Linked DNA regions of Mus musculus: regions 1, 2 and 3 are each reported to be linked to region 4. Evidence: microRNA targets listed by miRTarBase, many of them from high-throughput screens and not tested one by one. Region 4 holds a microRNA gene; each other region holds the end of a gene's coding sequence.

Region 1 (8,289 bases), not on the chromosome of region 4:
TTAAATTTTGCCATTGACCACTGTGCACCACTGCTTTATACATTTGTATTAGCAACTGAGCACACCAGAACACAGTGTATAAAAAGCTCCCTGCAAGAGCATGGGACAGCCATTTTGCAAAACATTACTTCTTTTCTTATTGGGTTGCTCCCCCTCCTCTTTGTGCCTTCAAACCTGACCTTCACACTGTTCAAATGCTTGCTGCTGACCGGGGGTTGCACGCTTCTGCACTGTTTTGTTATCTTACCTGTGTTCCTAACCTTTTTTCCTCCTTCCAAAAAGCACCACAAGAAAAAGAAACGGGCCAAACGAAAGGAGAGAGAGGAAATTGAATGCATAGAAATCCAAGAGAACCCTGATCACGTCACCACAGTCTGAGGGTGGAGACTTTTTCTTTTCCAGTATTGCACAATGATGCAGGGCTAGTAAGGCTCAGACCTCAGCTGCTTGGGCTGGCCAGGGGTAAAAAGGCAGGTCAGATCAAGAGTGCATTTTTCATGACGCATCCAAGGGTCTGCTTCTTTTGATGGAAGAGATAATAAAAGGAGGTGAAGTTCTTTACAACCTTGTGCTCCATGAGAGATAATTCTCCAGACATTGATCTTAGAGCTTTTCTGAGAAATGGATGGATTGGTGTGGTCAGATGGAAGGCCGAAAGATCTAAAGATTCTTAGAAGAAATGGAGAAGAGAGAATAGGTGGTCTCCAGATAGGGGAAAGTACAAAAAGAAATGTCTAATTTGTCATGTCACTTCATGTTTTCATGAACAGATCAATCAAAGGAAACCTATGCACATGGGAAGTACACATTTAATCCTGTATAAACCAAAGGACCGGACCTCCCAATCCACTTTGTGTGTACATATAAGTATACATATACATAATATGTCTTGAGTGTGTGTTGGTGGTTGGATGAAAGAAGATGTTCATTTGCAGATAGGCTGGCCTTTCTCAAAAAGTCAAATCAACATTAGTCAAATATATAACCTCATTAGGGATGATACAAAATATATAATTGGTCACTTGAAATCAACTCAACTGTCTAAATAGCAAGAGAATTATCAACTGTGTGATAACAAGATAGACAGAAATTTGAATCCATTAAATTCTACCTATCATGTTGTTGGTCACTGAGATCCTACGTTTGGGATGACTTCACCAAAACTCCAAAAGGTATTTGAGTTAATTAGCATGTGAACAAACGTTTAGAATCTAAAGTAGTTGAGATAGCTTGTCATTAGCTTTTAACATTTCTGTGTATTTGGAAGGCCAGCATGGCTACTTTTGGATATCTCATCCACCTGAAAAAAATGAGCCCTTTAAGCACATTGTTTTTGCATGCATATGTAAGGGTACACAGTGTAAGTGAGAGATGGAAAGAAATGATGAGATACCATTTCGTAGTTAAGAGCTCTTAAGTTAAATGGTGAAAATACACTGTTGTGGCACAGGTGGCAATTAACACAGGAAAAAGAAAATGTCTGGAAAATGTAGCGAGTAAAATGAGCCATCTACCATTCACCATCTCGGCATCAAACAGCCTGTTGTTTAAGAAAAACTTGCCAACTCTACAGACTCTAATGTGTTCCTTGGAATAAGTCTGGGAGCATTAACCAAGACCATGATCACTATGATGGTGGTCACCATAACCCCTGCAGCATCATTTTGTAGCTTCTTGGAGTATCATTGTCTTCATTAACTAGAAAGTAATCTCCTATGGCAAGCACAGCTCTCTACTGGTGCCATATTAACTGTGTGTAATTGCACCTGGAGTCCTTACATTAAAAAAAGAAAGAAAGAAAGAAAAAGTATTGAGGTAAATGTTTTGGGTTTTTTTGGTTTTGTTTGTTTGTTCGTTTGTTTGTTTGAGTTAGTGTTGAAAACTATGCCCCAGGCAAGTACTCAGTCTGCTGGGTGCGTTCAAGGACTAAGGCTGCTATTCATGTTGGAGAACCTTACTAGAAAATTCCTTTTCCATGCCAAATAAGGAACCTAAGGGATGATTCATTTCTGGGTAAAATAAAACAAATGCCTAATGATTACACATCCTGCTAAGAAGCTCTTTTTCCTGAGGAACATTTACATTTCCTACCAATTTGGGTTGTAGAATTTAAATGCATTAACAATACTATTGGCTTTAAAAAACAAAACACAACTAAAACTCTTAGAAAATTCCATTCCTTTTAAGTTTTAGGAAATAATGCTGATAGACAGTACTGCTCTTCTAAATGATGCAAATTTTTAAATGGACATCATTTAAATGAAACTTCAGTTTATTGAATGACATTTGTTCTATTCTACTTTAAAACTGCTGTGTTTCAATGTCTCCCCTGATGTGGATACAATAGCTATAGAATTAAGGAGGGACCATAACTTCCCATAACCGCACTTGATATTTTCACTGTATCTGTAAAGCCATGTCACAGGTAACGCCAGCCTTTCATTGCAAGAACTTTTGTCCTAGGGGGAACAGACATTTGGACAGTTGACCTCCAGGCCATGATCTCATATTTGAAGTCGAATTTTCTAAGCAGTTTTTGCAGTTGGAGAACAGAATTCCTCTTTCAAAGTTACTCATCGTTTATGAAAATTTCTATCACTCCCACCTGCTTGTAAAGACAGCCACTAAGAAGCTGAGGATTCCATATCACTTCATATCTGTCCATATTCAGTGAAACTCCATTGTTTCACCAATTGTTTATTTAAAGATAACTTACTTGTGTTTTATAATTGCCATACCATTTCAGATACAAAAAAAAAAAAAAAAAAAACCCAACAACAACAAAAAGATTGACAAGCTAATTGGCAAGCTTGCAAACTGCCAAATACATGGAAGTACCGCTGCATATTATGCCAAAGCACCAGTTTCAGTCTCTCTCAAAGCACTTGGATGGGGAAAGACTTGTTTATATATTAAGTATTGTCTTCAAGGATCAGACGTGTAGGACAAACAAGAATTTCTCATTGTCCAAGTGTCTAGAGAGGTGGCATTTTAGAAGAGATGTTAACTTCTCCAGAACACGTGATTCTCTCCAAGGATATGTAGCAATAATTTACTGAAATGAAACTCCGTGTTCTGGAAGAGTTAATAGGGTGCCCAAAATTCCTTGTCTTGGTCTTAGGAAGTAATGTAAGCCCAGAAGAACCTCGCAAAGCATCCGGCAAACCTTCCAACCTCACACTGAAGCAGATATTTCCAAGATTTCCTTCACTGAGTACCAAGTATTAAAATATTAGATCATGATTTGCAGGTAAACCTCCAAACTCAACCTTTTCTGATTATTGGTATGCTCCATCCTAGATTTTCAAGTTTTTGCTTGCTTTATCCATTGTGAAGTGCTGATGGCATTCAAGTTAGGACGTTATCGTCTATCAAACAGAGGGGCCTTTCAAACCCTAGAAGAAAACAGTGGTGAATCTTTTAGAACTGTGGAGTATTTTATATACTGTAGTGTGTTTTCCCCTTGATAGAAGAGATTTTTAAAAACTTGTGAACCCCATACTTTTTCTTGTTTAAATTGGACTGTGTTCCCCCCCCCCACAGAATGTGAAACAGAAAATATCATTTTATGTCCCAATCTCCCCAAGGAGGAACTCACCTAAATTATCAGTCAAGATTTGTCTAAAGGTTTCGTGGGCTGACCTACATCATGTGGAAGTCTGTTGAAAGAATATATAGCTACATGTTTTCTGGTGGGTTCTTGCAGTGACCATGAACCTCTTTGAAGGCTGAGCATGAGTACTCTATGACAGAGCTATTCTCAACTAAGTTTGTATCTCATAAATGTCTTTCTTCCAATTTATTTCCAATTGTTTTCCACAGAAATGAACTTACATGTTTTATTTTGTATTGTGAAAGAAAGAAGTGTGATACCCGTAGCTTCTACGATGCTATAATAGCCATTCTTGTATGTTGATCTTGAGTGTAAGAGCTATGTCCATTCTGTAATTATCCATTGCACTTTACCATAACAAGCTAATCCTTCTAGGCTTGCGATTCGAGCTGGGGATTAATTATTGCCATTCAGAATTGTGTGTATTTTTATATGTTGACTGTAAATATTGTTATTACAGTCAAATATTTTTATGACCAAATATTTATAAATGCATGGCACAATGCACGCATGATTACTAGTATGTAGATGATTAAAGACACTATTTTCAGGGTTATTACACTTTTTATTAAAATTCTCATATTCTCTATCATAAATGCCTCATGGGTTTTAGTTGCAAAGCCCTAAAGTCCATAAAAAACTTCATGCTAAGGGAAGCAATCAGAAAATTGCTTTCTCATAGTATCAAAAAAAAAAAAAAGCCACCTACACTAAGATGGCCATTGGGAAAACCCAGGGCTAAGCCAGGTCTCTGCTGGGTCAAGCAGAATCTGCATTAGGCAGGAATCAAATATGCCCTGGATGCCCTAAAGCAAGCCAGAAGTTACAGTACCTTAAAAATGGACCTGTGATGATTTCTCATGAGACTGTAGAATTCTATGATTTACCCACGCTTCCCAGAGAAAAGTCTCCATCCAATCAGTGTTGTTCCTGTGTGCACAGCCCTCTGCTAATTCTTTCAAAGGTGATCCCGAAAGCTTTCATTTATTTCAAAGGAATTTCAAGATAATTTTTATTCTCTTTTAAAACAATAAAATTCTTTCTTTTACGGTGACAAAAAAAATAATAATAAAGTTATAACAAAGTTCTGCAGTATCAAGTCAAAACATCTATGGCTGAATCAGTGTGCCCTTGAAGTCTCCTCATCTCAAATTTGAATACAAAACTCTGACTCATCTCTGTGGCACAGGCCCTTATGCCAACCTTTTTCCACAATGATCTGCAGATACACTGCACAGAAGGTAATTACTTTTTTTTTTTTTTTTTTTTTTTTTTTTACAGCTTTGCCTTTAATATGACTGCAGTGGTAGCGACCAAATCAAAAGCAGCAAGGCCTCTTTACTGGACATTCAGCACATAGGTGCTACATATGAATGTAGCCACAATTCAATTCCTGTATCAGATGACCAATGTTCATCAGTGTTGTAGCTAGGAGGGCAGGGGTTACTGCTCTGAGTTCCAAATGTTTTGAAGTTTTGTTAGATGACATTTGGATGAGATTGGAAGATACCAAAAGACAGATAAGGCTCCAGCTAAGAAATCAAGATATCAGCGTGTGGGTGTGTCAGGAAGAGTGACATCAATAAAGTCCTTACACACTAGACTTTATAGGTTAGAAAATAGCACAGAGAATCAATTGGTGCCTCAAAACTAGAGGTTCTACCTGCTTGCAAACCTAGATACATGTAACTATATCTATCCCACTTGGAGATCATGTTCTTGTTTGTAAGACTCAGACACTGGGTCTGCTTCTGGTTTTCTAAGCAGGACCAGATCTGTTTTGTGAGTTAAAAATAAGCTGAAGGACTCTTGAAAAGAATACTCCAGCTAAACACCCAGAAAAGTATTCATTTTCAGGATGCTATAATACAGATAATACTTTTGAACATTTTTATTTACCTAATGAGGGTCTATAATCTGCTGCTGATAGAGAAGTCATTTACTCTTCTTGTAAAGAGGAAAATGATTCAAAGAGAGAAATACATGCAAGCAGTGTTTGCACCGTCTGTAGCTATTGAATGGACCATATCTTAGCTCTTCTACATCCTTAAAGGGGTTGTTGAGATAAAATGAGCTAAGGCTGCACTGGGAACCTCTGTCACCAAGGCATTTTTAATACAATAAAGAATTTATAAATGAGATCATTGACAATTTTGCACTTTTATAAACTATAGGACTCCAGTCTCTGTTTTCTCACTGAGATGAATTTTCCCAAAGAAAGCTCTCATAGGTCACACCAATTATAAAATCCTAAAAATTAAAGAAAACCTTGATGACATGGGAGTAAGAGCAATTCACAGCCTCTTGGTGATTCTTGCTCCGTTTCTTGGGCTCCTGTTCCAGCCAAGGCGGGGTTAGCATTAGTCATTCATAATTGTGTTCCAGTTTGCTGCGTGGCTCATGGCATGCCTGATATAGTTTCCTTCCCGTTTGTTTTTGCAGTTACAAAAGCCACTACATATTCTCCAGGGCTCTTTCAAACCAGTGGAGATGTAAGAGTTTTAATGTTTGGGGAAGATTTCATTGAAGAGTTTCCTGGAAAGTATTAGGAGTGACCACCATGAATAAAAGATAAGTGGAGCTTATTATAATTGTGTCACTTTCCAGTCCGGAATAGATTTAGCTTGGATTCTTGGAAGAGATTGTTCATGGCACACTGTGAGAAACATTCCATTATCTAAATGTGAGAAGGGAGCAGAATCTCCCACTGAAAATGGAAATCGCTTTCATCACCAAAGTCGGTGGATTGCTGAGTCTTTATTTGCAGCCATACTGAGAGACCTTGAAAAAGAAAAAGAACAGCTGCTGTGGTTTTATAGGTCTTAGTACAATCTATAGCATTCATGTCTATATGGAATCAGGATATTCCCTTGTCTTTCCTCCTCTGACATAAAAGTCCGAGTGACTGAAACCATTTATCCTCCTGCTCACCAGTGTATCTGCAATGCTTATCACGTGTTCCCATTAATTATGCATATTCTTTCAGCAATAGACTTCCTGATTCTTAAGTAGAAAATCTGTCACTGTTTGAAAAGGACAGAGATATTGCTAAGCTACCTCACAGGGATATTTAAAGATGAAATGCCATACAACCTTTGTCTAAATGGTAATACACTATTATTTATTTTCCTTTCACTGGTAAAATCGTACCCAGATAGTGGTAAAATGAACACCATCGTGTGTAGTTTTATTTCTGTGTGCCACTTACTATAAATATTCACCAATGCAGCATCCCTTGGGAAAGATGTTCAGTTATCTCTTCATGGAAATCCCAGAGCATGAAAATTAGTGCAGCAAGAGTATTAGTTCAGAAACAGTACTGCCTAGGGTTAACTTAGAGACAGTGGCTCATCAGCAAGATGTGTCATCAAGTAATCTGGGACTAACTTCAATGAAAAGCCCATTTGCCCTTCTTTGCAGAGGATGGAAAGGCATCAATTACTTTACTTATGTTAAGCAGTTATGAAACAATAAAGATACTAGAATGACTTCCTAGGTCCCCCCTGACCCACCCACCCAGTGTAAAACCACTGCTTTCTCCTCCACTAAGATTCTGAACCACAGGCTGCTTCAAATCAGTGAGGAGAAGACTGCTAGAAAGGATAGCTGTCTCTTCGCAAGTCAATAAACCATGGGCGTGACCACGGAAACCGAGTGCTCCATTTCCTTTCCTTTCCCAGAAGAAATGCCCACAAGTTCCTAATCCTGGTGCAGTGAGATGCTAATCTCTATAGCCAAATGAAAAGGAAAGATAACATGTATAAAATTATAAAGTCCTGGCATCCTAACAGTACAAACCCCAATGGCAAAACACCATTGCCAGTTGCCTTTGCCATAAGGATGGCTTTTTAATATAACATTCCTTTTACATTTTGGTTCTTTGCATTCTTTTTTGTAAAAATAGCCTTATTCATCACATCCAATTTTCCAGTAAAGGATTGAAGACCTCTGTTCCAGAATTCTGCACATAGGACTTTAACTCTAAAGCTACCTTATCGACAGAAGCTTAAAGGAAAAAAAAAAAACAAGTGCCAAAAAGAGTGACTTAAGTTGTATTTCAGTGTCAAGATGTCTTCTCCCAAATAACAGACTGCCCAAATACACAGCTTAGGTCTTCCTGAGCATCAAATATTCTAATTATTAGAAATTATTAGAATTATTATTAGAAATAATATTAATAAAAGAGCTTTAAAAAGTGATTTCAGTGGTTTTAATTTTCCAAAATTTGACTCATGGGGAACATTTATATGTATTTCCATTCTCAGTAAGCAAAATAAAATAATCTGAAAATGAGTTTTTCTTGTAACTATCACAGGAATAAATAAATGTGATTCTCCTAATTGAATAGCTCTCGTACCTTTGTGGATAGAAATTGTATGTCAAATATTTATCTTATTTTTATTTTCAGGTTTTACATGTACATCTATACAATCATTTTAGTGAAATTTCTCAGGATCATATAGCTTAAGAAACCTATGCCTGAGGCCTAAAGATAAATGTCTTAAGGAAAAAAATAACCAAGACTTCACTACTTGTAACAATGCTTCACGTTTACTTTAACTGTAGGACCACTAGACAAAGATTTATGGAGTTACTATTTTCACCTTTGATTTTCACAAATAACTACTTTCCTTGTATGTAGCAAGAGCAGTTGGTATATTTAAAAAGTCTTAGCA
Region 2 (8,641 bases), not on the chromosome of region 4:
CTCTACCTTTACACTGTATAGTAACAATCCTCTGCAGTTTTAGCAGGCACCATGTGACTGCAACAATTCATGTCTTGCCACAGCAACCAAAGAAGCATGTGAGCATCCTTATTCTGCACCTTTACCCAAGTTAGCTTTCCTCTAGCACAGACATGCTTTTAGCTAGAGACATTCCCTTTGTGGTAAAATAGATACACCCTTTGGTACCAACAGTGGATTGCAGTAGGGTTGCTTCAGGTGTGCTGCTGTGCTCTGGTGTGCTGCTTTGGCATTTAAAAGCAGGAAAACGCATGCATTTAGTCCCAGAGTTCCTTGAGTATGGTAGGACCTTCTGGCTCACAACATTAGTAACCTTTATTTACTGTGTAGTAAATGTAAAGTCTACTAATTAAGTGGGGGATAAAAACCAAAAATAAGACCATGACTCTTCTTTCCCTCTTCCCTAAAACTTGCCTCTACGAATAACCTTCAGTGTGCCCTCCAGCTGAACCGAAATCAGGCAGGACACAGACTCCTCCTTTCTTTTTCATCAAACCATAGAAATAGAAATCCTTCATCATAACCTCTATGCCTTCTCTCCCCTCTGCACCCCTGCCTCAGCTGCATTTTCCTGTTGCTTCAACCCAGGAGTGCTTCTTCTGTTGGGAAGAATGGGGAGAAGGGATGAGAATCCTTGACCAGTTAAAACCCAAGTCCTCAAGAAGTCATAACTTCATGGAGCTGAGAATTTCAGGCATTTCTGCTGCTGCCAAAACTCAGTTCTTTATTCATGGGACATAGAGAGGAGTTGAAGCCTCGACTCCTTCCAAATTTATATTTTCAAATTTATGTTTATGGTTTCAGGTGAAAACTTTTAAACAAAGCATGTAGCATCTCCTTATTTCTATTTGTTTGAAGAGCATCTAAAGAACGAATGCCACAGCATACATGCTGTCTGGAAACCCCATCTTTTCCACAGAAGCCCTGATCTCTGCCTTTGTACTATATAACTTGCCCAGTGCACAGTACTTCTTTGGCCCTGCTCTCTTCAAAGTTCCATAGCAGCCAGCCCCGTGGACCATATCACTCCCTCATCAGTATGTTGCTGGGAATAGAATACTGGCAGACAGTCCCAGTGTTAGAAAATGCCCTTCCCTTCATGCCTGCCATCACTCCATGTTGTTTAGCCTTATCTACAAGCTGTGGAAGAGAAACCATTTTCACTACCTGTTGTGCAAAAGCAAATGGATAAGTAATACTTCAAAATCTTCCTCTCCTGCATGGCTTCCCAAATATTCTCCCCATTCCGTGGCTTGCCAATCATTACCCTATGACATTTTCCCCTTTCCCCAAAGTTATATCCCAGAACCCTACTTTAATGCTAATATTGTGTTACTTATAATTCTAGGGACCAGCAGCACAAATACCGTTGGAGGAACAGTGAGTAGCCAGGCTGCCCAGGCTCAGCCTCCTGCTATGACTTCCAGTAGGAAGGGCACATTCACAGATGACCTGCACAAGTTAGTAGACAACTGGGCCCGAGATGCCATGAATCTTTCAGGCAGGAGAGGCAGCAAAGGACACATGAATTATGAGGTGAGTCTTCCCTTTTCCTAACCTGCCAGACTATACACAGACATGTCATGGACAGCCAAGGCTGGTATGCCATCCTTACCACTACCATCTTCAGTAGCCTGTGGATTCTATTATTGAGAAAACAAGGCAGCAATCATTTTGGTACCCTTTTTCTTCAACATCCTGCACTACCTGCATGTGCACATAAAACACATCTCAGATCCTACTTTTCACTCCTCCTTGTTAAGGGTAAAGCCAATAAATATGGGCGGCTTCGTTATATTTTGATAATGCTAAGATTAGAACATCTCAGCTCTACAACAGCATTATAGTATCACCCATTTTTCATCAAATTCTCATTGCTACTTTCTTGTTTTTAGGGCCCTGGAATGGCAAGGAAGTTCTCTGCTCCTGGGCAGCTGTGTGTTCCCATGACCTCAAACCTGGGTGGCTCTACCCCCATCTCTGCAGCATCTGCTACCTCTCTAGGTCACTTCACCAAATCCATGTGTCCCCCACAGCAGTATGGTTTTCCACCTGCCCCATTTGGCACTCAGTGGAGTGGAACAGGTGGTCCAGCACCGCAGCCACTTGGCCAGTTCCAACCTGTAGGAACAGCATCCTTGCAAAATTTCAACATCAGCAATTTGCAGAAGTCCATCAGCAACCCCCCAGGTTCCAATCTACGGACCACCTAGTCAGCAGCAAGGATGTTAACTGAGTAGATTTGGGGGCAGGAAATGGAATGCTGGGGGGGTGGGGGGGTGGGGAAGTAGCCTATATACTAACTACTAGTGCTGCATTTAACTGGTTATTTCTTGCCAGAAGGGAATGTTTTTAATACCATTTTGAGCCCTCAGAATGGAGAACCACCCTCCTTCTCCGTTTGTTGGAGTTAAAAAAGAAGGAATGAACAGCTTTCTGGTGGAGGGGCTGCTTGAGACTGCTTTTCTGTTTTTGTACCCCTCAGTAAGGCCTAGAACTAGAAGAGAACCTTGTTACCAGAAAGCCCCAAGAGCTCAATGTAAGCCAAACCCGATCTGTATCTGTAAGTGGGCAGAGCTCTTTAATTTTGACATGTGTCCCAAATTCCTTATTCCCTCAACAATGCACACCTTAAGACAAAGGTTCTCTCCCACTCTGATCCCTACCCCCACTTTTTCCCCCCCTTTTACAACCTAGTGAAAAATACCAGGGGACTGGGGTTGCAACCCTTTCTTACATAGGTCATTAATGCTTTAAGCAAAAGATATTAGCAGCTTTGACTGCAGCATTAGCAATTAGGGAAAACAATAACGTTCCCTGCGGACATGTAACTTTGCCATCAGTTTTGATGTGGAAACACTGTGATATATAAATGTTGTTGGACAACATTAGTTTTAAGAGAAAAATTTGAAAGGTTTAAAAGGTTCACACACACACAAAAGCTAGCTCTGTCCTTTACTTATTAAGACACTTTAACTTTTTCCTTTGTATTTCCATTGTATTAGATAAATAAATGTGAATGTAAAATTGTATAAATTACTGTACTTGAATACTTCTGTTCTCCCAGTATTGCTTGCTGGATATTTTAGTGCCTTGGACTTCTATTGCTTCTGCTGTTAGCATCAACTTACCAGACCCCAGGTCACCAAAGGGTATGTGGAAAGAAATCTTAGGTCCACATGACCCCAGCAGTGGATATGCCAAAGGGAAAATGAAAGTGTTTTTGGTTTTGGTTTGGTTTATTATTTTGTTTTGTTTTGTTTTGTTTTCTCAGTCGTTTCAATTTTGCCTAGAGCAGGTGTAAGGTGAGCACAGTGAAGTTGGCATCAGTGGTTGAAAACAAAGTTCTGTTTCAGAAAGAATGAGGAGGGTTGTGAGCTGTGTGTGAAAGATAAGGACTGAAGATGTGGGGACAAGCTTGTTTGAAGTGATGCTTGGCCAGTGAACAAACGAGATCTAGAAGAGATTAAACAAAAAGAGGGGAGTGGGCTAGATTTTAAGTTGGGAAGGATGACAGTGCCAAGTCACAGATGGAAAATGTTGCTCTAAGGAAACCTGCTCGGTTGCCCCCACCTCTTGTTGCACAAGTACCACCACACTTTCTCTGCTTTAAGTACTGTATTGTGGGAATTCAACCCACTTCTAACTTTCTAAGCATTGTAGGAAAAAGTGCTTATTTCCTTTCCTAGCTGTCCAAATGGTTGCACAGTCAGAATCTATTGTGCTGCCTGTACTTCTATATTAGAGCTAATACTCTCACATTTTCATACCCATATCCCCAAATAACAGCAACCAACCAGTATTATCTGATTTTCTGGCAATAGGGACCTAATTGGCTGTTTGGGATCTGAATATTCTGGAAAAGTGGAAAAAGTAGAACTCATTTCTTGGGTGCTTCCTCCTTCACCTTGAGTTGGGAACTGACACATTTCCAACTTTATGACACATCCCAGGAGTTGCCACACTAGCAAGGCTTCTTCCTGTAAGAGTCTTGTTCTTTTTAAGTTGGTCGAGGCCCAAAGATACAAGTGAGAGCTGAAAGTTTCAGGAGAGGGAAGTGTAATGAGCAGGGCTTTTGTTTCAGGTCGTGCTACCAAAGTGTTGACTCATTTATTCCTTTTGGGAGCGGTAAGAGGTACTGTGGGAGTGAAGCAGGTTACAGGATGACTGAGTGCTTCATACCAGCAGTAGAGGGAGCCAAATGCAGCATGTGGTGTTTGGTTTAGTCATTCTGAGTGAGGTCTGTTCCCCCTTCACAGAGGTTTACTTACTGTTGGTTTCCCCCTCCTGTGGATGAAATAACTGAAGCCTAGAGAAACGAGCTAGTGCTACTGAACTGTTTAAATTATTTTTGTGTTAATAGTACACTTTGAGTATCTTTCCACATTTAAAAAGAACTTTCCGAATTATAAATGTTTTCCTTACGTTATTTAACAATGTACACTGTTTAAAACTGAATTCAAACCTTGGGGTTTCTCAGCAGCCGTTACCTGTACATTTGCACTAACTCCGGGGGCTGCGCTTCTGTAAGATTGCGCTTTGTGCTTCAGTTTGTTACCTTTGTAGACTTATTTAATGAAACCATTCAAATAAACCAAACTTGCTTTTGTTGAACTGTGGGTTGTTCTTTCTGACAAACAAAAAACCCTTTTGTCCTCACTGGCCCTACCATTTATAACTAAAATCGTGCTGTTAAGGGTGAAAGTGGCACTTCTCCAAGGAGTCTGTTGCTAGTCCTCAGGAAAAGGCAAAGCAACAGCTGTTAGATGGCAGGGAAATTATTGCAAACTGCTGTCAGTCAACAGCGTCTGACATAGGTCTCAGTTTCTCACCAACAGATCTTGTCCCTGCTTCAAGACTAGGCACAGGGGCTAGAGGCACTTCTTTCTCACCAAGCCTGTGCCTGGTCCCAGGGACTCACCAATTCCCTCATAGCATAACCCTAAATTCAGCTTAAGTAGAATTGGAAGTTCATTGTTCCTTTGAAAAGAATCATGAAACTTTGGGTGTGGTATAGTTAAAGAACAGTTACTTCCTTAAAACACCTATTCCTAGGGAGACAGCTAAGTAGTTTCTCATCCAAATATCCTGAGTTCAATTCCCAGAAACCATATGGATCATGATTCCACCCTTCTTCTTTTGTTTTGTTTTTTCGAAACAGGGTTTCTCTGTGTAGCCAATTCCACCCTTCTTTAAGTGAGAAATTATGGCTTCCCAACAACCCATGGCTTTTCACTCAAAGGCTCTTCAGCCAGAGAAAACAATTCTTTAAAATGGTGCACTATTCATGTAGTATGATAAGAATCTTACCCTAACTATGCCTTTGCCAAGTACAGCCATGCAAGAAGCCTAAACTACCAGTAATCTCAATTGTAAGTTACACCAATTCTGCCAGTGTCAGTGTTCAAACATTACTTGATGGCTCAAAAAAACACTAACAGCAGAACTAATAGGAGCCAGGTGTGATGGTGCACACCTTTAATCCCAGCACTCAGGAGGGAGAGGACAGGTTCAAGGCAGCTTGGTCTAAAAAGCAAGTTCCAGGACTACATGAAAAAAAATCATCTCCAAAGGAAAAAACCTACTAAAAAGAATGCCAACTAATCCAGTGCCTTAAGCACCCCGTTTTAAGTGTTGGCACATCTCTGGATAAAGGGAGACTCCTCCATGGATCCGCATGTGATCCTGAACCGACAACATGACCTTGTTCATAGCAATGCTTAGTGGAAAACATTAAAAACCTGAAGCCAAAGGAAAGATGAGGTCACACATAATTTAATGTAGGTAACAGTCATGCTGGGGCTTGGTGGGCAACATCGTTAAATGAAAGGCAGCCTGCAAGGTCCTAGAATCAGCTTAGGAGTGAGTAATACTGAACAAAGTTTATCTGTTGGCCTCCTTCCCATCATGGGGTATGACAACCTTTTTAAGTAGTTAGCTTCCTCTATAGTCCTCTAAAGAGTTCAGCATGAGCCAAGGTGGAACAATTTTGTGACCAAACTGCAGTTTTCCAAAGTCCTTTTGTGACGGTCTAGTGACATCTTGAGTCTCAGGATGGATCTAGTTTCCTTTTCTTCAGGTCCTGGCTCTTCCTATGAGGTTCAGAGTCTTCTGTAGAAGATAATGGTTTAAATACAGCAGCCTTGACTTTAAACAGTAGCCCCCCCCCCACCACAACATTTTTATAGCAGACGTGCAGCTTGGTCTTCATGTGGGTCCCCTAACAACTAGAATAGGGCCTGTCTCACGGTTGCCTGCTATTGCATCCTCTTCCCCTAACTGGACTGCCTGATTAGGACTCCTAATTTGCCTAGTCCTGCTAGAAGTCCCAGGAAGAGGTGGTACCCAAGGGAGGCTTCCCTTAGGCTCTGAGAAGGAGAGGGACTGGGGGGCGGGGGGCTGTGATTGGGATGTAGTCATTTCTGGACTGTATTGGCCAACAACCCTCATTTAGACAACACACAATGAGTGACCATTGTGGTGTCATTCTCATTATGACATATCTACCTTGAGGAAGAAGTGATCTAAATGCAATCAGGACAAGTAGTGTGTCCAACATTTTGACATTATAAAACACTATCATCAAAGTTTGCAGCTCAAGAGCCATGCAATCAAGTTACAAAAATAATTAAGTTTGTAACTTTGTCAATGCAAACACTCATAACTTTCCCAAGTCTCATGTTGGACACACCACATTCTAGATCTAAACAGATCTAGCCATGATGTCCAGAGTCCAAAGCTCAAACCACTATCTTTTTTTTTTTTCCATTTTTTATTAGGTATTTAACTCATTTACATTTCCAATGCTATACCAAAAGTCCCCCATATCCACCCACCCCCACTCCCCTGCCCACCCACTCCCCCTTTTTGGCCCTGGTGTTCCCCTGTATCAAACCACTATCTTTACCTGAACTGCTCAGGTAAAGGACTCTGCCCAGCTTTTTTTTTTTTTTTTTTTTTTTTTTTTCTCCTTTTGAGACAGGATCTTAATATGTATGTATTCCTTACTGGCCCGATTGAACACAAGGCCTTACAACATACTAGGTAAGTGTTATACCATTGGTTGGACTAAATACCCAGCCCACAGACTTCATCTTTTATGAGGCATATCTATACCTCATAGAGCTCAGGCTGGCCTCTTCCACAGACAAAATACCAAAGGAAGTACACTTGGTTCTCTCTGGAGAGGTGCACTAATCCTGAGGGCCAGGATTGCAGGCATGTGCTACTGAGTCCTGTTTATCATCCCCCCACCCTTTCTTTTTAGTTTTTGTGCTGGGGTTTAGCCTGCATGTGTGTCTATATGCTGCTTGCATGCCCAGAGTCCAGAAAAGGTGTATCCAGTCTCCTTGGAACTGGTGGTGTAGACAGTTGTGTATGTGAAGCAATACATGAGTACTAGGAATTAAGTCCAGGTTCTCTACAAGAGCAGTGTGTGTACTGTTAACTGCTAAGCCATCTCTCCAGCCCCTTAAGTCAGCGTCTTAAAATGAACTAGCACCTTTCCTTTACATGTTAAAGAATTAAACCCAGAACTTTCATTCTTCCACACACCTCTGCTACCTAGAACATGCTGGTTGGTGTTGCAGGTCTGCAGGTGCCCAGGTCCAGGCTTTTCTTGTGGTTTCTGATGGCAATGGATATGTGGGACGCTGTCCTGGTTGTTGAAGGTTCGAGTGGCAGAAGTTTGGGCTGGTTCTGCTCTACACAAGGGCTTAATGATGTCCTCTAAGTCTGGAGTAAGGTCCCACATTTCAAGGTTCTCTTCAAGGTTATCTACAAAGAGAACCACGGTGTCATTCACAAAAGCTTCCATGTTTGACAACCATAATGGTGCATGTGGCAGCCAGCAGGGAGCAGATGAACAGTTTTCAGGCTAGAGAGTGAGGCCCTGGCTCAGGACTAAAAAAAAAAAAATTCCAGGCTTTGAGCTCCCTCTGGCAAATCACAAAATTTAATTCCCACAAATATCCTAAATCTTTCCATTGGTCAGAGCAATTTGGAGACCTCTTTCCATTTTTATAAAACTTTAAGGCACTAAAAATCAGGTGAAAGCCAGAGAGACGGCTCACCTGGTAACATCACTTGCCACACGGCTCAGTTATCTAAGTTCAAGACCTAGGCAAATGGTAAGAAAGAACTGACTACAAAGTTGTCCTCTGATCTATACATATGTACCAGGACATACATAAAAATCAAATGAAAGTGAGGACTTTTATGATTCCTTTAAGATGGAATCTACAGGCTGGAGATGCAGCTCACTGGTACAGCAGCACTTGCCTAGTATTGCAAGGTGGGATCAATCCGCAACACGCCACATGACACCCCAAACTAATATGAATTCTGTATCTTCCAAAAAGCACACAGTACAGTAATTTAACACTTGTATTACCTGGAAAGACGACTTTCTCCTGGAGGAGTTCTGAGGCTGCAGTTACAGGGGTGCTGTGTTTTGGAGGGGCTGGAAGTACTGCTACAGTTTGCACAGGAGAGACAAAGGATAAGCCAGAGGTCACATATCAACTCTGGGATTAAGTTTATTCCCCTCCTGCACAGAGTACACCTCTCCTGAGAGAGAACCAAGTGTACTTCCTTTGGTATT
Region 3 (8,641 bases), not on the chromosome of region 4:
TGATTTCTTTCCTTAGTTAGAGCAGCAGTGGCCTCGAGCAACTGCATCACCATTCTTCTCTCCCTAGGAGTCCTTCAATAACGTTAAACAGTGGCTGCAGGAGATAGATCGCTACGCCAGTGAAAATGTCAACAAGTTGTTGGTAGGGAACAAATGTGACCTGACCACAAAGAAAGTAGTAGACTACACAACAGCAAAGGTATGTATGAGGTTTGACTTTGACACTGAATTTAATTATGGGGACTGCCTCACCCTGTAAAAGCCAGTGAGCTTAGTCCCCCATTCCCATTTCAGAAGACTAAGTCAGAAGGATTTTCCATTGTTCACTGTGCCTTATTATTCTCTCAGGAATTTGCAGATTCCCTTGGAATTCCATTTTTGGAAACCAGTGCTAAGAACGCAACGAATGTAGAACAGTCTTTCATGACGATGGCAGCTGAGATTAAAAAGCGAATGGGTCCTGGAGCTACAGCTGGTGGTGCCGAGAAGTCCAATGTTAAAATCCAGAGCACTCCAGTCAAGCAGTCAGGTGGAGGCTGCTGCTAAAATCTGCCTCCGTCCTTTTCTCACAGCAATGAATTCGCAATCTGAACCCAAGTGAAAAAACAAAATTGCCTGAATTGTACTGTATGTAGCTGCACTACAACAGATTCTTACCGTTTCCACAAGGTCAGAGATTGTAAATGGTCAATACTGACTTTTTTTTTTATTCCCTTGACTCAAGACCGCTAACTTCATTTTCAGAACTGTTTTAAACCTTTGTGTGCTGGTTTATAAAATAATGTGTGTAATCCTTGTTGCTTTCCTGATACCAGATCGTTTCCCGTGGTTGGTTAGAATATATTTTGTTTTGATGTTTATATTGGCATGTTTAGATGTTGGGTTTAGTCTTCTGAAGATGAAGTTCAGCCATTTTGTATCACACAGCACAACCAGTGTCTGTCAGTTTCCACGCATAAAGTTTAGTGAGACGTTATATGTAAGATCTGATTTGCTAGTTCTTCCTGGTAGAGTTATAAATGGAAAGATTACACTATCTGATTAATAGTTTCTTCATACTCTGCATATAATTTGTGGCTGCAGAATATTGTAATTTGTTGCACACTATGTAACAAAACTGAAGATATGTTTAATAAATATTGTACTTATTGGAAGTAATATCAAACTGTATGGTGATAAGTATTGTTTTAATTCCTATGATTAAAGGGAAATAGAGCTTTGCATTCTACTCAGCAGCCACGTGTGTGCAGCAAGGGCACTGTAGACCTATCTTAATAGCACAGCATCCAGGGTTTGCTTTCTAGTAATAGGTCTGATGAGTGACCTAGAGAAGCTTTTGTGCTGTGTAGAGACTTCACCACCTTCATTGGTTCAAGGAACTCAAACTCTAGTGCTTCATCTCCAGCCCAGGCCACCTGAAGTGGCTTCACCAGCAACCCTTTTTTCCCTCATCTGTGGTAGAGATGGAGAGCAGCCCATGCTTCCTCCCAGGCAGTGATCTGGTAATAGTGCTGGTGTTTCTTCATGCTCAGTCTGATGGCGCACACACCTTTTTCTTTCTTTTTTCTTTTTGGCTATTGGAGATAGGGTTTCTCTGTGTATCCCTGGCTGTCCTGGAACTCTCTCTGTAGACCAGGCTGGCCTCGAACTCAGGGATCCACCTAGCTCTGTCTCTGAGTGCTGAGACTGAAGGTGTGCGCCGCCACGCCTGGCTTTTTTCCCCTTTCTTTTTTGAGACAGGGTCTTACTATGTAGCCCTGGCTAGCCTGGAACTTAAGTATGTACAACAGGCTGCCTCCCCCTCCCCCATTCACCTGCCTTTTCCTCAAAAGTGCTGGGATTAAATGATGTCCCAGACTGCACCTATTTTTTGAGACAATGTCTCATATAGCTCAAGAGGCCTCAAATTCACTTGTAACCAAGGATGCCCTTGAACTCCTGATCCTCCTGCCTCCACTTCCAGGTGTCAACTTTATTCTTTCCAATTGTATGAATCATGTTGGTGGAGAGTTTAAGCATTAGAATAGAAAGCAGGAAATGTGATTGCCCTAATTGTAGAAATTCTATCTCCCCCCCCCCCCAAATTAAATGAAAACATGAACGCTAGATGGGAATGATGGGAGAAATAATATATTTATTTCGGTGAAATTTTGCATGTGTGAAAGTTTGTTAACTAGGATCTTCGAAATCCTAGACTTTGCTTTTGTCTTACTGTGGGAAACAAAGTCTCTTGCAGACACTAGCATTTTAAGGTGACAAAGGTCAGAGATTGTTTCCTTTGGTTTAAGGAGCAGCCAAGCATTCTTCAATTGGGGGCTAGGGTAGGGTATGGCTGTTGATAACACATTTTATCATGGGGTCTTTAATGATAAAATATTAAACTAAAAATAAGCCAGAAATTACAGGTTTATTTTTCACTAAACAGACAATTGAAATACATGGTACAAAAATAAGTGGTAAGATTATTGTAAATTGAAAAATGGACAGAATAAATATTCAATTTAATTTTCCATCTATGAGAATTTCACAATAAAATCATAGTTTACTTTGTATTATAGATGCGCTTGTTGGGTCTATTCATCCTTATATATAAAAAGGTAACTGGAAACTCCTCAAGTCACCAGGAATTGGGTCAATATCTTTTATTTTTTTGTAGCTGTTGGTTTTTTGTCAATATAAAGGGAGAAAGAGTTCATAAACTGTTTTCTATCATAACTAAATGATACAACACCAATATAGGATGAAATGGTGCCAAGCACTTTAATTTTACACAGCAAAAGTTGTTCAAACTGTCAGCTTATTCTGTTAGCAGAAAACATTACATGAATTTATTTTTAATATAAACATATTTACAGACTAAAATTCTAGTGCTCTTTCCCCACTGGCAGCAAGATTAGGGCTTACCAGACTATTTCAGCATGCTTCACTATTTGGTTTCATGTATGTGCTGATAATTGCTGTTTTAGAGTGGGAAATAACCCATTTTTCAAGTATAAATATTTCAAGACTCTTGGGGGCTCTAATATGTTCACATAATAGAAAACTGTCCCTTGATATATTTTAAAAATGACTGCCATAGAGAAACGTGCATAATGAAAAGCACTCTCTCAGTTGGCCACGGCTCCCCTAAGGTCCAGTGCTCTTTCGGACAGTTCCCTCAGGCTCATATTTGGCCACATCTTGTACCACGATGTCATTTTAAGTTTCAAAGCTGTTTGAATTATCTTGTTTTGTGCTAGAGCTTCACTGTAGACCTGTAACAACCCTGTCTCAAGATGCTACTTTACTGTGAACTCTGAACTTTAAGGGACCATTTATAAATTCTAAAAAGGCTATTTGAGTCTAGCCTGGCCACATTTACAGATGCAAATGGTAGTGACATCCAAGGCTGAGACATTTTAGCTCAAACATAACACACACCAGAAGATAAAACAACAGTTGTATTGATATTCCTAAATGGCATTCACAGCCAAGGTCAGAGTTACACCCTTTAGTTACAAAAAGTCTATCTTCTTGTTACAAAGAGGATGAGCAGAAGCATAGAGCATGTTCGGGCCAGTATTGTGTTGGGAAACCATGCTCACTGTCAGTTGAATCAATTGTAATTATACAGCAAAAGAAGAGGAGTGCCCCATTTTGCATTCAGTTGGAGCAGCTGGCTAGCTCTATGAGTCTCCTGACTTTCATGCTTGACAAATGGCTTTAATACCTGAGGGCTCCTTTAACATATTGGTGGGAAGGCAGTTTAAATCCACATGAGAGGTAAGATGTGCTTTTGACCAATTCTAGGTTTTATAGGATATTTTACATTTAACTTAAATTATTTGCTAGAAAAGTTTTGTTTTAGCCTCTTGAAAGCACTTTATGTACCATGTACAGTATAAGAAATAAGTTTAACTTAGAGATGGCAGAATAAAACTAATGTGAGCTGGTGCATGACTTTAATCCCAACACTTGGGGAGGCACAGGATCTCTCTTGAGTTTGAGGCCAGCCTAGTCTACAGAGGGAGTCCCGGTACAGCCAGGGTTCTGTTACACAGAGAAACCTTGTCTCAAAAACCCAAAAACAAACCAGTAACAACAAAACTCTTAATATGGATCATGCCCATAAGCATTATGGTAAATCATGCTGTGTAGCATCAGGCATGTAAAAATACTGTATTTTATGCATACTTACTGAAGAATCTTTTTTTCCTTCTTCTTCTTCTTCTTCTTTATAAAGCCCTGGCAGCCTGGACTCTAATAAACAAGCCAGACTGTCCTCAAACTCACAGAGCTACTTTTAAGTACTAGGATTAAAGTCATGTACATGCTTATCTAAATAGCTATTTTTTTTTTAAACCTGAAAAGCCCACCTTTGATACTTTGTGGAATTTGTGGTAGCCAACATACAAACACTTTGCTTGGAAAGCTGTAACTGATGCTTTGAACATATGGACCTATGATAGGTCCATAGAATTCTTTTCTTCCTGACAAGGCACAACTTCCTGTTCACTCCCAAACTACAAAGACTCCCCGCTTTTCATCACCAATGGCTGCTTTAATTTACGTACGCACAGACCATGTGGCTGTCTCTACCCGGCCCAGTCCTCTGACTAGTCTTCCAAGGGGAAGAGAACTGTGGCCTGAGATCCCCAGAGGTTAGCACAAGCATGCAGTTCAGAAGCATGGCAGGCCAGCTCCTGAGCATTCTTGACATGGTTGAAGTGGAGACTGACCACTATAGGTGGCAACTCCTAGGACTCTGTAGAGGTTCTCCCGACTTACTAAGGGTGAGCATTTCACTCTACAGTTTTGGCCACTAACATTTTCTCTCTTAGATCCCATCCCCCTGTATGCCTGAGAATCCTAAGTACGTAGAACCTTTCTCCAGCAGCTTTCTGTAAATGGCCTCAACACATTTTATCTGCTGGTTTTTAAACACGAGACCCACAAGTCTTAATATTTTATCAACTAATTATAAAGCCACATAATTATTGTAGAGAAGCACCATAGAAACGGCCTTAATTTTGGAGGGATTCATAGTAAATGAGGGCAGTGACTCAGGATCCTTCAGAGGCGAGAAAGGCATCTTAACGTGTGTTCAAGTTGATTTCCTCCCCTTCCTTAACTTCCATGGCTCTTACAAGGAGTTCTTGAGTTTTCTTTCCAGCTGCCATCTCGCCAATGACTCCACCTCTGCCTGAATGAGAGGAGAGCAAGGTTACAGCCTGCTGCAGAGGCAGCAGTGTGCTACCACATGTACTCACACCACTCACATCACTGATGCAAATGCAGGGCCCCTTTACTACTACTATTTTTTTAAAGATGGTCTGTTGAGTAGCTTAGGCTGGCTTCTAGGAACTCTCATGCTTCAGCCTCTAGGTGAGATTACAGGTCTGCATCACCATCCTCCCGCTGCTGGAGTCTCTGCTCTTGACATATTTCCAGCATTTGCTCACTGAGATTTATTTGATAAACATTTTGTAAGAGGAAAAAAATCAGTACAACCTGTGATTCTGCCCAGGATAGGTACCAGATAACCCTGCTTTTTTCTTGGGCTTCTTCCTATCTCATTGCCAGTTTGACTTTCTAAAAGTTGTATTTAACAAGTAGTATTGATTGTTAAGTCTGTAAGATGTGTCATCCCCCAGTCTTTGGGGGAATGGTGTGGTATGGAAGATCTGCAAAGGTCCTTTGTAGCATAGCGATCTGGCAAGTAACTGGGTTTTTGTAGACGTTTGTGTTGTCAGAGATGCTTGGAGACAGGTGCTGAGTGAGTTGAGCAAGAGAGCCTGTAGGACAGGGACAGTCTTGAACGCAGCCCCACACTGGAGAGAGTAGCACTGTAAGGATTACTGCTGCTGTCTGCTGTGTGGTGTAGCAGTAGAGGTAGAGAACACCGTATGGGAATGTGGGATATGCAGCTCAGCAAGCACATGTTAACAAGACACTGGAAAGAGTGAAAGACCCACCTTCCTGGCCAGGGTAGTGACTCCTTCAGTCTTCCTTCAATACTACATTTGTTTCAATGAGTATTACCCCAGCCAAGTATATAAGAAGTAATTATTTACTGGGACAGCCTTGTGCCCTTGTTAGCACAGTGGTTGGACAGTAAGTCCTCTTCTTGGGTTTCTCTACTTACTGTGTTAAAGCCCTTCATGTGGGTGTTCTGCTGCTGTTGGCCTGTTGTCAGGGATGAGGGTGCAGCCAGCCAACATGTCCAAAGAGGCTAAGATAGAGTCATAAAGATGATCTGCACGGCTCTCCAGCTCACCAGACTGCTTTGCAATCCTCTCAAGGACATCCTTTAAAACTAATGGTCAAATTATAAAAAGGTATAGCATTTTGCTCACATAGGTCTGTAAGTTTCACAGTGACTCCTCCCTACCCTAGCAGGGTCTCATGTAGCTCAGGCTGACCTCTAACCTTTCTACTTGAACATGACCTTGAACTTTTTTTTTAAAAAAAGATTTATTTATTATATGTAAGTACACTATAGTTGTCTTCAGACACACCAGAGGAGGGCATCAGATCTCGTTACAGATGGTTGTGAGCCACCATGTGGATGCTGGGATTTGAACTCAGGACCTCTGGAAGAGCAGACAGTGCCCTTACCCACTGAACCATTTCTCCAGCCCCGACCTTGAACTTTTGATACAGGTATATACCACAGCATGCACACTACAGTAGTTTATGAAGTTCTGGGAACTGGAGCCAAAGTTTTATGTAAGTTAGGCAAAACATTCTAGAAACTGAGCCACACTCCCAGTTCATTTAATCTTCTCCCTTTAAATAGTGATGTTCCAAAGGTTCCAGAGCTTATGTAATGTATTGGGGAAGTTTGTGGACTTTGGGGGGTAAGAAGGATCAATGACCAAAACTGGAGGAACGATTAGAGAATAGACTATGCATGTCTAAAGAGGGAGGCGCTAGGATTAGAGTACTCAAAAAGGCTGGCTGTTTTCTTTTGTTAAATACAAAAGCTGCTTGCTTCCTGTGCTTTATCAGCTGGGTTAAATGCTCCCGAGCTTCCTGCCTGAGAGCAACATCTGCCAGCAGAGGATAAGAAAGGGGAAGTCTTTGTTCTGCTCACAATGTGGACTCGATGGGGCAGGAAGGGAAGGAACTGGCTGGGTGTGTTGAGGTCAGCCCCTTAGAAAGCCATAGTGAGGCAAAAGTGCTGGCCTAACAATTTCTTGGAGCTGGTGGCAGAGGAATGTTGTCAGGGTGGCTGAGCCAAGCTCTGTTCAGTCTTTCCGTGTGTCAGTGGAATTCTGGGGCTTTTTATTTGAAACTTTAAACAGGTCAGGGAAGAAAGGCTAGAAAGGGTACAGGTTTCTTTTTCTTAGGATTTATTATGTAGTGTTCTGCCTGCATTATGCCCGCAGACCAGAAGAGGCACCAGATCTCACTGTAGATGGTTGTGAGCCACCATGTGGTAGCTGAGAACTGAACTCAGGACCCCTGGAAGGGCAGACAATGTTCTTAACCTCTTGAGCCATCTCTCCAGCCCTTTTCCTGTTTTTGGTGTGTGTGCGCTTTAATTTTACACATACATATGGGGGGCTTCATTTGGTGTAATTCCCACGAGTCCCAGTCACATGACTCATAAGCAGTTGAGAGTGTAGAACAAAATGTCAGCCTAAAGCTGGGCGTGGTGGCGCACGCCTTTAATCCCAGCACTCGAGAGGCAGAGGTAGGCGGATTTCTGAGTTCGAGGCCAGCCTGGTCTACAAAGTGAGTTCCAGGACAGCCAGGGCTATACAGAGAAACCCTGTCTCGAAAATCCAAAAAAAAAAAAAAAAAAAAAAAAAAAAAAAATGTCAGCCTATATTTCTGTAACTAGGTCAAACTTCCTTTGGCAGGGTGCTGACATAGGGCCCTCTTGGTGGTAGGTAGGGGCAAGCCTTAGTCACTCCTGCAGTTAGACTTGGAGCCAAGTAAGAAAGCAGACTCGGAAGAAGCAGGATGGTATGGCGTGTGTGCTGACAGGATGCTTCTGGGAAGAGGAAGTAGAAAGTGTTAAGGGTAACTTGAAACTTGAACAGAACAGCTAAGCGTTCCAGTTACTCCAGGCTGAGGGCTGGGAGGGTAGCAGTCCGAAGGTCTGGGTTCATATCTGAGATTCAAAGAAAACCAAAAGCCTCTTCTAAGAGGCCAGGCTGACCCCTAAGTCTCTTCTCAGAGTAGGACAAAGTGGCTCTTGTTAGCTTACTTAAGGCAGCCTTCCATTACACATGGCCTCTGTGAAGAGGCCTATAATGAGCTCTTTCTGCTCAGACCCTGTTTCTTCAGACCCTGGACAGCAGCTGCAGGTTTCTCAAGCCCCATGCTAAGCTTGTTTGGTAAACACCAGTGTAGTCAGAAGCAATAAAGCTTGCTATATCAAATTTCTGCCTTAATATAAAACTTGAGGCTGGTGTGATGGCTTAGCAAGTTAAGGCTTGCAACCTGAATTCAATCTTTAAAATATGTATAAGGGTAGAAAAGAACTAACTACCTGACCACCTCCACACAGATGGGATGGCACAGACACAGACAGACAGACAGACACACACACACACACACACACAACTACATAACATTCATATACAAAACAATAAAAACATAACCATTAAGGCTTAGCCACAAAAGCAACACCTAAAAATCCTATGTAAGA
Region 4 (5,000 bases):
AAAAAGAATGAATTTATGAAATTCCTAGCCAAATGGATGGACCTGGAGGGCATCATCCTGAGTGAGGTAACCCAATCACAAAGGAACTCGCACAATATGTACTCACTGATAAGTGGATATTAGCCCAGAAACTTAGAATACCCAAGATATAAGATACAATTTGCTAAATGCATGAAACTCAAGAAGAACGAAGACCAAAGTGTGGACACTTTGCCCCTTCTTAGAATTGGGAACAAAACACCCATGGAAGGAGTTACAGAGACAAAGTTTGGAGCTGAGACGAAAGGATGGACCATCTAGAGACTGCCATATCCGGGGATACATCCCATAATCAGCTTCCAAATGCTGACACCATTGCATACACTAATAAGATTTTGCTGAAAGGACCCAGATATAGCTGTCTCTTGTGAGACTATGCCAGGGCCTAGCAACACAGAAGTGGATGCTCACAGTCACCTATTGGATGGATCACAAGGCCCCCAGTGGAGGAGCTAGAGAAAGTACCCAAGGAGCTGAAGGGATCTGCAACCCTATAGGTGGAACAACAATATGAACTAACCAGTACCCCCTAGAGCTCGTGTCTCTAGCTGCATATGTATCAGAAGATGGCCTAGTTGGCCATCAGTGGAAAGAGAGGCCCATTGGTCGTGCAAACTTTATATGCCTCAGTACAGGGGAATGCCAGGGCCAAGAAGTGGGAGTGGATGGGTGGGGGAGTGAGTGGGGGAGGGTGTGGGGGACTTTTGGGATAGCATTGGAAATGTAAATGAAATGAATACCTAATTTAAAAAAAAGAAAACAGGTTAAATAGACCTTAAAATAATTTTAAACCTTTAAATCTCCATAATACTTGGCATATAATGCTTGTGTACCATGGCTACTGACATGCAAGACACAAAAATGGTAAAATAGTGTTATGTTTTCTTAAATGCCTATTATAAAATAATTGAATGTTATAATTAAATAGTATTCTGTATGTTTGTTTCCTATATGTGTTCATTGATGAAAGGATGGGTACATGATACATCATACATTCCCTGTTTTTAAAATATCTTTTTAGTGAACTTGTAAATGTGAGATGCTGTAAAGGCCACTTATTTACTGTTTTAGCCTGTATTGACTAGTGTCCACTTACAGCCACAGCCTAACATCTTTACCACAGAGAAGCTAATTAGGTGTCAAATTAAGAAGCAAGGACCATACACATATTCACTACATATGCATAGTAAATTACCTGTATATATCACGTATGAACATCTGGTGAGCAGCAGTGAGGTGGCATGCAGACTTAGAAAGTGTCATTCCCCTGCCCCAGCAATGAACAGTTCTCCTCTGCAGGGTCAGTGTGAAGGACAACTTCCTTCCCACGCATGCTTCTCTTTCTTTATTACAGTGTGCACTGTCATTAGTGTCGTAGGTTAAATAGTTTTTTTATGCACTTAGAAAGGCTTATCCTTTGTTTAGAAGCTGTTTATCCCCTTCATTGAAACCATTCCTTAATCTGATGTTTTTGTTCTGTAATTTCTAACCCTGAACTTTGATAAGGTTAAGATACCAGAAAAGTAGTTCATGTTGGCAAAAGTACTAAGGAACACAGCCCTGATTATCAAGGTAGGTAAAAATGGCCATAGAATGTTTTCTTCTTATTTGTCCTTGTTTCATTCTTGAAGTGATAGTTCCCACAGGAGAAATACTAATTGCTTAAACATAGCCACATTAACACTTCCCCCAGACCCCTGCAGCCTTCACTTCTGCCCATAGTAGCCTATATGTCAAAGATTAACACTGTTCTACCCTTTATGACTATTGGTAACTTTCAAGAAAACTAAATGCTAATTTCAGTTTTTAATTTGTGAATGCTCTTTCCTTAACCTGTGTTTGCCACCTATAAATTTTCTTGTCGAGGATTCTGAACCAAAGCAATACAATAATCGAAAAATATAAAAGTCAATAATTTTGAGCAAAGTCAAAGCATAATTTTAACATAAATTCCTCATATTTTATTATCAGGTAATACATATTTATCCTTAGTGCTATTTTCACCCAAATCCCCTAGCATACCAGTAAACCTTAATAACTGTGGTTATAACTTTAGCAGTGCAACCGTTTCTATCCATATTATTTAAGGCTTTAGTCATTTAGTGAAACTGTCGTATATTTATGCCTTTGGCATTTAGAGAGCACAGAGCTCTTCTACAGGAAATAATGCTTTGAATTCTGGGACTGGTTTTCCTTCCATTGAATTGCTTGTCATCCAGGTATGGGTTTGATAAACTGACACAAAGGTGAAAGAAGTTCCTCTCCTATGTCATCTTATCAAATACACTGTGGACAGCACATCTTTGTGGTGAGTACAGCTGCAGTCACTCAAGGAATCCATGAAGCTTATGCTCAGTGAAACATAGCCTCAGTATTTTCAGGTGATTTTAATGAACACCTGATAAAACTGAGGTATAGTACCACAGAACTGGGAATTTCCCCAAACCTAGGAAAAATAAACAAATGCACAGGGTTATAGGATGGAAGCACCCCTTGTTCATCTTAGTGGCAGAAGAGACATTAATGAAAGAGATAATTCTTTAATTTGCTTTCATTCTGGTAAACATTGTCAAGTTACATTATAAACATACTTGAATTTTAAAATAAGAAAAATGGAATAGAATTGATTTTATATATACTTTCCTATTTTGCATAACATTAGATAGTCTGAATTTTTGCTTTTATCTGGATTCATATTTGTTTAATTTCAATTATTTTATTTGAAAATACATCCTCAGAAGTGTAGTATTTTTTAAAAACAAACAAAAAAGCCTAACAGTACACCAGAATCATTTGTATACTGTCCAGGTTCAAGAATTGTCATGTGAGAAAGATATTTTCTGAAATTTATTCTTGCACTAAAAGTATATAATTCAGGCTCAGGTCAAAAGCTGATTCTATTAATCCAAAGTAACATTGTTAAATCTTTTCAATTTTGGATGAATTTACCTGCTATATACAATATGGAAACACAACTTTGGCGATTCCTTCTATTTTTTTTTTTTTTTAAGTCTTTGCAGAGTAAATGGCATCATACAATTCCAGTACCTTCTCAGTGTGGCTGCAGGGCTGTGTGGACACGGGAGGCGTAGTACAGTGGTCCTCGGCAGAGCAGAAGGTGCTCTCCATCCTGCTAAGAACTGCAGCATCCAGGAGCTTTTCTGAACAAGGGACTTCTTTTAAATATGTCTAGTCACCTCAAAAGCTGTGTAGACCATTTCCTGCCAGTAGGATTAGAGGAAGGAAGCACCAGGCCATAGTGTTTGATGTGTGATGTACTGTAATTCTTTTCATGTGTTTGCTGGCTTTTATATGATGATCAGTGTTCTGCTACCAATTGTGACCCTGGTGTGGTCCAGGTTATTAAAGTTCAGACATCTTTAATGTATAGGTTCATTACATATCTAGCCTAGCCGCATTGTTGTAATTAAGGATTGATTTATGTTACTTACCCAACACTCATCTTCATTAAAATATTTATGTTTTATAATTGAGTAATTTTCTTAGTGACTGTGATCTTAGTGGCTAAAAGAGATGATTCTGTGCTTAGACTGCCAGTTCGTACTCTACTAGAGACTCTCACATGCTTTTCAGGCCTCCTTGGTTTACCTTCTAAACCTGTTATTTAAATGGACATTTTTCCATGAGTCTTTTATGAGTGTATATAAAGTTCAAAATGGAATATTGCTTCACAGTCTATATTAATTGCTGCTTTTATTATTATTAGAAAATACCTGAGAAGAGGCAGGTTAGGGCAAGAAACAGTGTTTGGGCTTATGATTTGAGGCTGTGTAAGCCCATCGTTGCTGATAAGCCTTAGCAGTAGGAGCAGCTCAAAGCTCTAATGGAGGAATCATGAAACTGCATGCCCAAATCTTGGCAGGCCAGGAAGCAAAGCATGGGTGTTAGGAAGAGCTCCTGGTGTGGTGGCAGGAGTCTTTGGCTATTAGTTCACACCTCTGCAAACCTGACATCAAAGAGCAGGAAATAGAACCCAGCTATAAACCCACACCAGTGACCCACTTCCTCCAGCTAGACCACACCACCCTAAAGTTCTACAGCCTCTCAAAACTATACCACCACTGGCAAGTCAAGCTTATCCACACTGTATCCGTGCCTTTGATAAAACATTGTGATAATTATATACTCATTTATTTTGAGATACCACATTAAAGAACATGAAGTGATAAACTGCCTTGGATTTAGGGTGGCTTATTTGGGGGCATGAATAAGAAAGATCATAAATTATATATAGTTTCACTGACTGAAACACTATTAATATTTAATTGTAGCTACGGACTTAATGTTGTAATATTCATGTGGGTAGATTCTCTGCAGCCAACATTAAAGATGATGTGTATCCCACTTATTAACATAAAATGTGACGTAGGTGTTTAGTTATTCAATAATAGGGTCTTAATTGTGTATGTATTGTACTCTTATCTTCTAACAAGTCTGTGTGAATGGAAAATGGCCTGAGAGCTTTAAAAGTGATACTGTTAATTTATAACTGTTCTAAATCAACAAAGGAGTACACATGGCTCTTGCTGCATATATAGCAGAGAATGGCCTTGTCATGCACTAATGGGAGGAGAGGTCCTTGGAACTCTGCAGACTTGATAGAATCCCCAGTGTAGGGGAATCGAGGGCGGGGAGGGATGATGTGATAGGATATTTCCAGGAAGGAGGGAAACCCGGAAAGGAGATAACATTTGAAATGTAAATAAGGAAAATATCCAATTTTTAAAAAAAGATAGGAAAGGAATTGTCTTTATTAAAATGTATTGCAATTTGGACTGCCTAGAATACTTTCAGTCCAGTTAATTAGGTTGTAATTTGTGTTTACAAATGCCTCCACTATATTTTTTTTTCTCAATATAGAATCTAGTTAGCCAGTTAACTTGCAACAATAAATTATTTTCAAGACTCCATATTTACAGACTCTGTCATAATCTTAAACG

The links. Region 4 holds the annotated microRNA mmu-miR-875-3p (CCUGAAAAUACUGAGGCUAUG, at 2,401-2,421, opposite strand). A microRNA usually pairs through its seed, bases 2 to 8, with sites in the 3' UTR of a target mRNA and lowers its output. Matches are read on the target gene's strand: a 7mer-m8 pairs with bases 2 to 8, a 7mer-A1 pairs with bases 2 to 7 and ends in A, and an 8mer does both.
Region 1: the mRNA of Ptchd4 is a reported target of mmu-miR-875-3p. Seed matches in the 3' UTR shown: 7mer-A1 at 2,741-2,747 and 7mer-m8 at 4,158-4,164.
Region 2: miRTarBase lists Wnk1 as a target of mmu-miR-875-3p. Seed matches in the 3' UTR shown: 7mer-A1 at 3,390-3,396.
Region 3: miRTarBase lists Cep68 as a target of mmu-miR-875-3p. Seed matches in the 3' UTR shown: 7mer-m8 at 4,343-4,349.

What each region holds. Positions count from the first base shown.
Region 1 is chr17:42,503,538-42,511,826 of GRCm38, forward strand. Ptchd4 (patched domain containing 4) reads left to right here. Exons shown (of 3, transcript NM_001355270.1): 3 at 1-4,204. The coding sequence ends at 378. Among named protein-coding and RNA genes, the nearest start is that of Opn5, 100 kb to the right of the region's middle.
Region 2 is chr6:119,919,981-119,928,621 of GRCm38, reverse strand. Wnk1 (WNK lysine deficient protein kinase 1) reads left to right here. Exons shown (of 28, transcript NM_001199084.1): 27 at 1,388-1,575; 28 at 1,935-4,653. The coding sequence ends at 2,252. It overlaps Rad52 (RAD52 homolog, DNA repair protein), which reads right to left. Exons shown (of 12, transcript NM_001166381.1): 10 at 8,432-8,512; 11 at 7,594-7,815; 12 at 5,799-6,150. The coding sequence ends at 6,089. Among named protein-coding and RNA genes, the nearest start is that of Rad52, 22 kb to the right of the region's middle.
Region 3 is chr11:20,224,300-20,232,940 of GRCm38, forward strand. Cep68 (centrosomal protein 68) reads right to left here. Exons shown (of 7, transcript NM_172260.3): 6 at 6,125-6,295; 7 at 2,738-5,182. The coding sequence ends at 6,129. It overlaps Rab1a (RAB1A, member RAS oncogene family), which reads left to right. Exons shown (of 6, transcript NM_008996.4): 5 at 68-199; 6 at 349-2,557. The coding sequence ends at 546. Among named protein-coding and RNA genes, the nearest start is that of Gm51885, 5.5 kb to the left of the region's middle.
Region 4 is chr15:35,658,582-35,663,581 of GRCm38, forward strand. It overlaps Mir875 (microRNA 875), which reads right to left and starts at 2,466; the gene lies at 2,389-2,466. The region is part of intron 30 of Vps13b (vacuolar protein sorting 13B); the gene reads left to right. It overlaps Mir599 (microRNA 599), which reads right to left and starts at 2,337; the gene lies at 2,250-2,337.